Linked DNA regions of Caenorhabditis elegans. Each later gene encodes a partner of the first gene's protein in a complex. Each region holds a gene or a part of one and is shown on either strand. Other genes may lie near its edges. The genes, in order: lin-52 and lin-54.

What was found.
Region 2: lin-52 (region 1) and lin-54 share a complex: the UniProt entries of both Caenorhabditis elegans proteins name them as parts of the DRM complex.

The regions. Positions count from the first base shown.
Region 1 is NC_003281.10:9,823,507-9,826,539, forward strand, and holds lin-52 (Protein lin-52), read right to left. Parts: upstream 1,245-3,033; 5' UTR 1,238-1,244; coding exon 1,132-1,237; intron 1,079-1,131; coding exon 905-1,078; intron 858-904; coding exon 652-857; 3' UTR 577-651; downstream 1-576. Other genes in the region: arl-5 (ADP-ribosylation factor-like protein 5), read left to right, coding at 1-154, 203-468; ZK632.9 (uncharacterized protein), read right to left, coding at 1,619-1,619, 1,675-1,808, 1,858-1,911. UniProt on the Caenorhabditis elegans protein: Synthetic multivulva class B (synMuvB) protein. SynMuvB proteins are required to repress the induction of vulval development by Ras signaling and probably act by forming the multiprotein DRM complex that represses transcription.
Region 2 is NC_003282.8:13,239,033-13,243,913, reverse strand, and holds lin-54 (Protein lin-54), read right to left. Parts: upstream 2,864-4,881; 5' UTR 2,847-2,863; coding exon 2,721-2,846; intron 2,679-2,720; coding exon 2,523-2,678; intron 2,472-2,522; coding exon 2,363-2,471; intron 2,317-2,362; coding exon 2,211-2,316; intron 2,161-2,210; coding exon 1,773-2,160; intron 1,232-1,772; coding exon 986-1,231; intron 932-985; coding exon 755-931; 3' UTR 513-754; downstream 1-512. Other genes in the region: JC8.4 (CMP/dCMP-type deaminase domain-containing protein), read right to left, coding at 1-239; rpl-12 (Large ribosomal subunit protein uL11), read left to right, coding at 3,354-3,390, 3,516-3,770, 3,981-4,088, 4,138-4,235; tag-115 (SAC3/GANP/THP3 conserved domain-containing protein), read left to right, coding at 4,502-4,763. UniProt on the Caenorhabditis elegans protein: Synthetic multivulva class B (synMuvB) protein. SynMuvB proteins are required to repress the induction of vulval development by Ras signaling and probably act by forming the multiprotein DRM complex that repress transcription.

The DNA.
Region 1 (3,033 bases):
AAAGATCAAGTTGAAACGAAGCCAACAATTGGAAGCAACGTCGAAGAAGTTTCGTATCGAAATTTAGATTTTGTGATCTGGGATATTGGCGGGCAGGAGAGTCTACGAAAGTCTTGGAGTACTTATTATGTTCAAACAGATGTTGTTATAGTTGGTATGAATAACTTTTAGTAAATGATATTAAAATTAAAATTATTTTCAGTTATTGACAGTTCCGACACCACTAGGATTCCAATTATGAAAGAACAACTGCACAATATGCTTCAACATGAAGATCTTGCTCGTGCTCATATTCTGGTTTTGGCCAACAAACAGGATCTGCCCGGAGCAATGAATCCAGCAGAAGTATCCACACAACTCGGTCTCCAGACATTACGAGGTGCTCGGAAATGGCAGATAAATGGATGTTGTGCTGTGAAAGGAGAAGGATTGCCGGAAGCTCTCGAATGGATTGCCAACAATTTGTAGAAACGTTTATATTTATAAATTTCAAAAATTGCCTTAAACTTTGCCAGCCTCGTTTTTTAAACTCTCACTGTGAGATTATGTGATTTGCCAACTTTCTAATTGTGCTCTGTTAGTAATCAAGTTTATTCATGTGAATGTTAATGAATGATGAGATCATTATTTTTTGATAGACCACTATTCAATTCACTGGCTTCCTGTCGTTTCTTCCGCTACATTTTTCGGTGGTGTTGGCTGCAAATATCTCGGAGAAGCCGAGCCAGTGGGTTTCAGCACGTTGAGCAACTTTCCACGTCGGCACTGGCGAGCTTCTTCGATTCCAAGAGTGTACACCGAGTTTTGAATGTTTCGGATGAGCTTGGCGATATCGTCGGCTGGGCAGTGGCTCATTGCTGAAAGTTAAAAATTGAAATGAATATGGAACAATATGAATACGAACTATTAACAGTCACAGCATCTTCCTTGAGAAACGAAATATTCTTGTATGGCGATTCGTAACCTTTTGATACTGATTCGCTTTGAAATGCTTCTTCAAAATCGAGACATTTCATTGGAACTGGCTCACTTTCTTCTGGCATTGTTTCGGTGCATTCGAGCATCTTTTTCTGTTGTTCTGAAAATATTTAAAATTCGAAGAATCTTTCTTTTCTACAATATAATACCAACCAAGCATTTTCGCCTGTTCTGCGTTTGATTTCTTTTCGATCATTTGTTGGACGAACATTTCGTCATCTCCAAATTCGTATCCAATAAATCCTAGCGGACGCGACATTTTTTTCCTGAAATTACCGCTATATGTCAGAATTTAAATGTTTAGAATTGAGTAAGTATAGAGCTTGTGACGAATTAAACGTTAGGCCGCAATGAAGTAATTGTATTGATTTCTTCTTCTAAAAAATAATTCTCACAAAACAAATATTTATTTGATGTGAACAAAAACGGGATGTGAAGAAAATTACTCGGGAATTTACAATAAAATACAAAAAAAAATCGATTGCTAGACAGCCTAGCCGGTGGGTACTTTACAAATTTTAAATTTACACAATACGGTTAAAAATAATGAAGAAACGAGAAACAAGGTAAAAAACATGAATCAGTGGGCAGTCGGTGGTGGAATAGAGAAATAGTGTCGGGCAGTCACATGAAGAATGATTCTGAAAAATCAAAAATAGGAACATGGTCCGCAAACACGGTAGCATATTAACGCACCACTTCTCTTTTCTCTTTGCCTCTCCGTTGCTGGCGGTTTGAACAACCTTGCGAGTGTCCCCTCCTGGCTGAGATGCGTGCTTGTGCTCCACTCTGTCAGACTTGGTGCGCTTTCCGCTTCCAGTGGTGAGATCCTAAAATTGAAATTATTCAGTTTAAATACAATATATGCATTGCACTGACCGGTCCTCCGGTTTGCTCGAATGCGGCAGCCATTTCTTCAGCAGTCGACGACATCTCGTTGGTAATTTTCTGCAACAAAAAATTATTATAAAGCTTAGAGACGTGTAAGCAACACAAAAATGAGAGAATGAACCGACACAAGAATGACCAAAACAAGTGTTATCAAAGTGAAATGGACGATGATTGGCAGTTGCATGATTAGAAAGAAGTAGGCAGAAAAGGGAGGAGAGTGCCAAGAAAACAAAACTGTGAAAGAACCGATTGAATAGCATTTGAAACGATTGGAGTGTGTTTATTTGAAGGACGATAGTGACAAATCTAAATTTTGGCGCGCGTAGTGTTGACGAAGATCAAATCTATTTACAAGTGTAAATGTTTAAAATCGATAATTTGAAATTTTCGATTAGGAATAAGGCTGAAAAGTATTTAAACAAAGCTTCAATTGAGAAATACCAGAAAAATTCGTTAAAAATTTTCAACGAGTTTAAAGGAGGGCGCATTTGTGTGGAATTTGTGTGGCGTAGAGATTTCTTTATTGATTTTTCTCGTTTTTTTTTTTTAATATTCTGACTTATATTGCGTTTATCAGCCATAATAAATGTTAAAAAGGTCGAAAATGAGAAAAATCAATGGAGAATGAAAAACAACTCTAAATGAGAGTGCGTTTTTGTAGAAAAGCTCTACAAAAGTGAGAAATAAAGTAACGTTTTCAGGCTTTTTTTCAAGAATAGAAATCTGCCTGAATATTTTTAGCGAATCAACAGCAGACGGACAGTTTCATTCAAATACTCGTATTTATACATTTGCGTTGGCGCCAGAGACACGTGATGGATAGACGAGCGGAGACCATCGAAAAAAGTAAAAATGAAAAGAGACGCAGAGCAGCACATTTTGAGGGCTGACTTGTTTCTGCTAGATATATTGGTGCGGTGTCATCGAAGGCACAGAACAAAAAGAAAAAAGAAGCAAGAAAGAAAAAAAAGAAACGAACAAACAAGACAAAAAAAATAAATCGATCGGAACAAAGCACCGATAGATCATAAAATGGTGATAAATAAAACAATGTATATCGAAAAGAGGAATGATTTATTTTTTCAATGGAGGGAATGAACACAATCTCATTAAGGCCTTAGAATGAGAAAATTCGGCAAGTGATACAGTTTTTGATCATGGACC
Region 2 (4,881 bases), on another chromosome or scaffold:
AGCAGATCCTCGCAGCCCGTTCCGTGCTCTTTCCACATTTCAGTGACTGCTACCATCTCAGCATGCCTTGTCGGATCACCGGTCTCGTTCACACGATTCCGACCTCTTCCAATTTCTGTTCCATTGACCACAAATACACATCCAACTGGAACTTCATCTTCATCTAAAGCTTCTTGAGCCAATTCGAAGGCTTTTTCCAGAAATGCAGTGTCCTCGGCGCTCAGCTCGTTTTCTGACATTTCTAATAAATTTTCTAGGTTTTAAAGGTGTACTAATTCGCATTTTAATTATTTTTTGCACAATAAAAATTAATTTTAATTTTAATCGCAGACCAGCGATGCATATTGTGCGCCGAAACACTCCTGAATAGCTTTGTTTAAAATAGGAGCGTGTTTCGGCGCACAATACGCAATTAAAATTTAATTTAAACTTCTGAATCAAAAAATCAAACATTTCTCGAAATAATTACTTTGCTGGGAACAAATGTGCAACTATGCTGCCAAATAATAAAAAAAAGACACAAAACTTCATAAATATAACACAATAATTTCTAAAATTGAAGAGACGCAGGTGAGTTAGTAAAAATGAAACAAATTTTTCTGATCATTTTTTATTTGACAACTTTGAAAGAAGGCAACTTGTGAATCTGTAAAAGCATTGAGAGGAGGGGAGGAAGGCAAAGAATGTGTGAGAGGTGAGATCATAAAAGATCGCGCAACTGTGATAAAATTGATAATAATTTTAATGCGAATAGTTAAGAAGTACTAGTAGATGGTCCTGGGATGTCATCCGTTGGAGCGGCATCAAGATCTTGTGTGAGCTCAGTTGTGTTTGTGATCATTTGTTCGAGACAGCGGCCGAATTCACGAAGGACAAGCTTCTCCATATTGATGAGTTTTTCGTCTTCGGTTTGCACTTTTTCGTAGTTTAACTGCAAAGAAAAAAAATTAAATTCAATAGGAAACCAATTGATTTTCCAACTAACAGCTTCTTCAGCTTGAGCAACCATGCACATAGTGGCTGCCTCAACGACTTCATCGGTCATATAGTACCACGGGAAGCGTCTAGGATCCATCTCGACCTTCGGTTTATGCGAAAGAAGCATATCCTCGTAGTCGTCTCCATGCTCATCGGTCACCACACTTCCCGGACCAGAATCTGGAGTCGCTGTGCTGGAAGCGTTGGTCAATGACATCAGGGCATTCGTATTGGACACGGCACCACCGGAGTTCTGAAATTAAAATTTGAATAAGAAATTAAATTTATTGCAAGAATTGCGGTATTTTGAACGTATAGAGATCCAAAATATGATTTTTTTAAATTTGAAAAAGGTGAAATTTGAGCTAAAATATTCAATTTTGGCCACTTTTCCGCGTCGAAGCGGTCGGAAATTGACATTTTTAAAATTATCATCTTTTATTGCATATTTTGGTATTTTATCTAACGTTTTTTTAAAAATTTCATCAATTAAAGTACATTTAAGGCCGAGAGGTGACCAAAAATGATCGAAATTGGTTACCGATCAGCTTTAAATGTACCTTAATCAATGAAATAACGTCAGATAAAATACCAAAATATTCAATAAAAGATGATAATTCAAAAAAAGTCAGCTTCCGACCGCTGGGACACGGAAAAGTGATCAAAATTAGCCTTTTTCGGAATTTTGAACTGCCAAACAAAACTTGTTAATTTGAGCACATTTGTTAGCCTATACGTTCGAAAAATCCAGAATCGTTACTCCATTTTTTAAACTGAATTATAGGAAATTGCACCTTGTATCTTGTCATTCTGTATGTTTCAGTATTCTGACATCCTTTGCACTTGCATCGATCGGTACACGGAACCTTTGCTTCATAACACTCACAATAGTTTTTCAGACAACCACTCTTTTTACAGTGACATCCTTTCTGATGAAGACGTTCGATGTCGGTAATACCTCCACGAGCAATACCAATTTTTGGCTTGAAAGCGTTCGGATTTCGCTCAAGTGACTGACGGATGGCTTTTGAACGCTGACTGTCGTATTCTATATTATTGTGACAATCCTTGCAATTGCAGTCACGACAGAACTCTCCATTGGCGAAACAATCACAGTAGAGCTTGAGGCATTGAGATTTCGTGCAATTGCATGGTTTCCGCTGGCCAGGTGCAAATACTTTTCTTGAAAAATAGAGGAATTAGTGAAAAGTTACAAAATTTGAGTTCTTTACTTTTTAGTTTTCAATCTAATATGACTAACGTGATCTTTCATATCGATGTAAACTTTTCGCTGTTCAGAATTTCCCATCTCCAAGCCCATTGGTTGCACTGTTCTAGCTTAAATAAAATAATTATTAGGACAAAAGATCTCTAGTTTACGAACGTAATGAAGCGGGCTGTCGATCGTACATTGAAGGTGAACCCGATAAATTGGACAAATTCCGCACAGTGTACTGAGACGATCCGGGAGTGCTGGGCCCAGGCTGAAAAAGCTTCCAAAGAGGTTAGTCAATTCGTAAAAAATCGAAAATTTTTAAAATTACTTTTCGCTGAACTGGTCTCGGAGGGGGGACGTAGACGCGATGCGATGATGTATCAATTGGTTCGTCTTTGACCAATCCCTGATTAACTTCCATTGATCGATTATGCTGTTGAATCATACTCGAGGTTCCCGGACGATTTTGCTGCGCCTGTAAGTTCTGAGAAAAGTTTATTTTTATTTCGAATTGAAAACAAATTACTGGATTATGAGGCACAAGCTGTCCATTAACTTCGATAAATTCGGCACCTTCTTCATAATTATCGTATATCTCCGATTCGTCGTAATAATCATCGTCGTCTTGATAAACGATTTCTCCTTGATTCATTGTCAACACTGAAAATACTGAAAAATAACTAATCAGGAAAACAATGTTTTAGCATTTGGAAAGAGATTAAACGAAAAGAAATTAAGTTATCTTGCCAGAAAATTCCCAACAAAAAAAAAAGAACATCGTTTTGAGGATGAAATACAACTTATTTACGTTCCTTTTTGAACCAAAATTTCATTTTTCGCCGTCTAAATACTTTCAAAAATGTTAAATTAGTAACTTATTTCTTGAAAATCAATAATTCAATAAGATTTAATATTAATAAATTTAAAAAACACCCAAAAAAAGGATTAAAAAATTGTTTCGCGCGCCGAAATTTGATTAAACAAAAATAATGCAAGTGCGCTCCACAGTTAATGTTGTTTGAAAATTGACATCGACAATTCGCTGCGTAGCGACGCAACAACCATTGTGATACGGAGTCAATTCGCCGGCGCCAAGTCCTCGCGACGAATTTTTTCTCACTTTTGTCACCGCCGGTATCCCTGGTAGACGTCACTCATCATGCCACCAAAGTTCGACCCAACTGAGATTAAGATCGGTAAGTTGCTCATTTTTGTGCACATTTAATTAGGTATTTGACGTATTATGCGTGATTTTCAATTTGTCAAAGATTTCATCATCGTGATTTTTGAAAAACTCTTTTGCATCATTTTCACTTTTCAGTGTACCTCCGTTGCGTCGGAGGAGAAGTCGGAGCCACCTCCGCTCTTGCCCCAAAGGTCGGACCACTTGGATTGTCTCCAAAGAAGATCGGAGAAGACATCGCCAAGGCCACCCAAGACTGGAAGGGTCTTAAGGTCACCTGCAAATTGACCATCCAGAACCGTGTTGCCAAGATCGACGTTGTCCCATCTGCTGCTTCCCTCATCGTCAAGGAGCTCAAGGAGCCACCACGTGACCGCAAGAAGGTCAAGAACGGTACGCATTTAATGCGTTGGGTCGGGAGTCGATATGCTCTCATCCCCTGGTCTCTTACTTCATAAGTTTGTAAAAGTTTGTGACTTAAAGACTAGTAACCTAAGTGATTTTCATGCTCCGTGAGTTTGATTTTTCCTGGGTTTGGTGTTGTCTCGTCCCAACGGGTTGTTTAATCAATCTAGTTTAACGTTTTGCACGTTTCCATTTCAGTGAAGCACAATGGAGACCTCACTGTTGACACCATCATCAAGATCGCCAGAATCATGAGACCAAGATCGATGGCCAAGAAACTTGAAGGAACCGTCAAGGAGATCCTTGGTAATATTTCGAAAACGATAAACTGTTTCTAAATATTGTATTTTTTCAGGAACAGCCCAATCCGTTGGATGCACAATTGATGGACAACACCCACACGACATCATCGAGTCGATCGCCAATGGAGAGATCGAGATCCCAGCTCAATGATCTGTCACTTGTTTTTGTTGTTCCAATAAATTCTTGTTACTATCTGCGTGTATTTTGATAAATATCTCAATAAATCATGCAAGACGTCTAATTTAGAATTTGTATCGAAAGACACTGGTGTTGGGATTCATTTGTTATCTATTTCTGGTAAAAGAACTCGTGCTTCGTCGCTTTTCGAAATCGATTTTTGCGTGGAGAGAAACTGCGCTCTGATGAATTTTTTCTTCAGTTTATTTTATTTTAAAATATTTTCGCTTCATTCAGAAATGGCCTCGTGTGAATCAATGTGCCCAGTCGCTGAAATAAATTTTCGAAGCCGGAATCATCTGATAGATCAATTAGAAGCTACTGCATCGACTAGTTCAGGACCCCGGTCAAAATACGTTGCAGATCCGACGAAAATGGTCAAAGAGTACTCACGATCAGCTGCTGACACCCATAAATACAACAAACCGGAACTATTAAGGCCTTTTCCCGTTCTACAACACACAATAGACTATCTTCTGGATTTGTACAGTCCGTTTAAAGGTGAGTGTCATGTTTGGTGTTGTGGTAAATGCTCCAATTATGGTGCAAAACGTCTCAGCTCAGTCACCGCCGACGCACCTTGTTTTCACGCATTCTCGGTCAGTTTTCTCGAGATTCA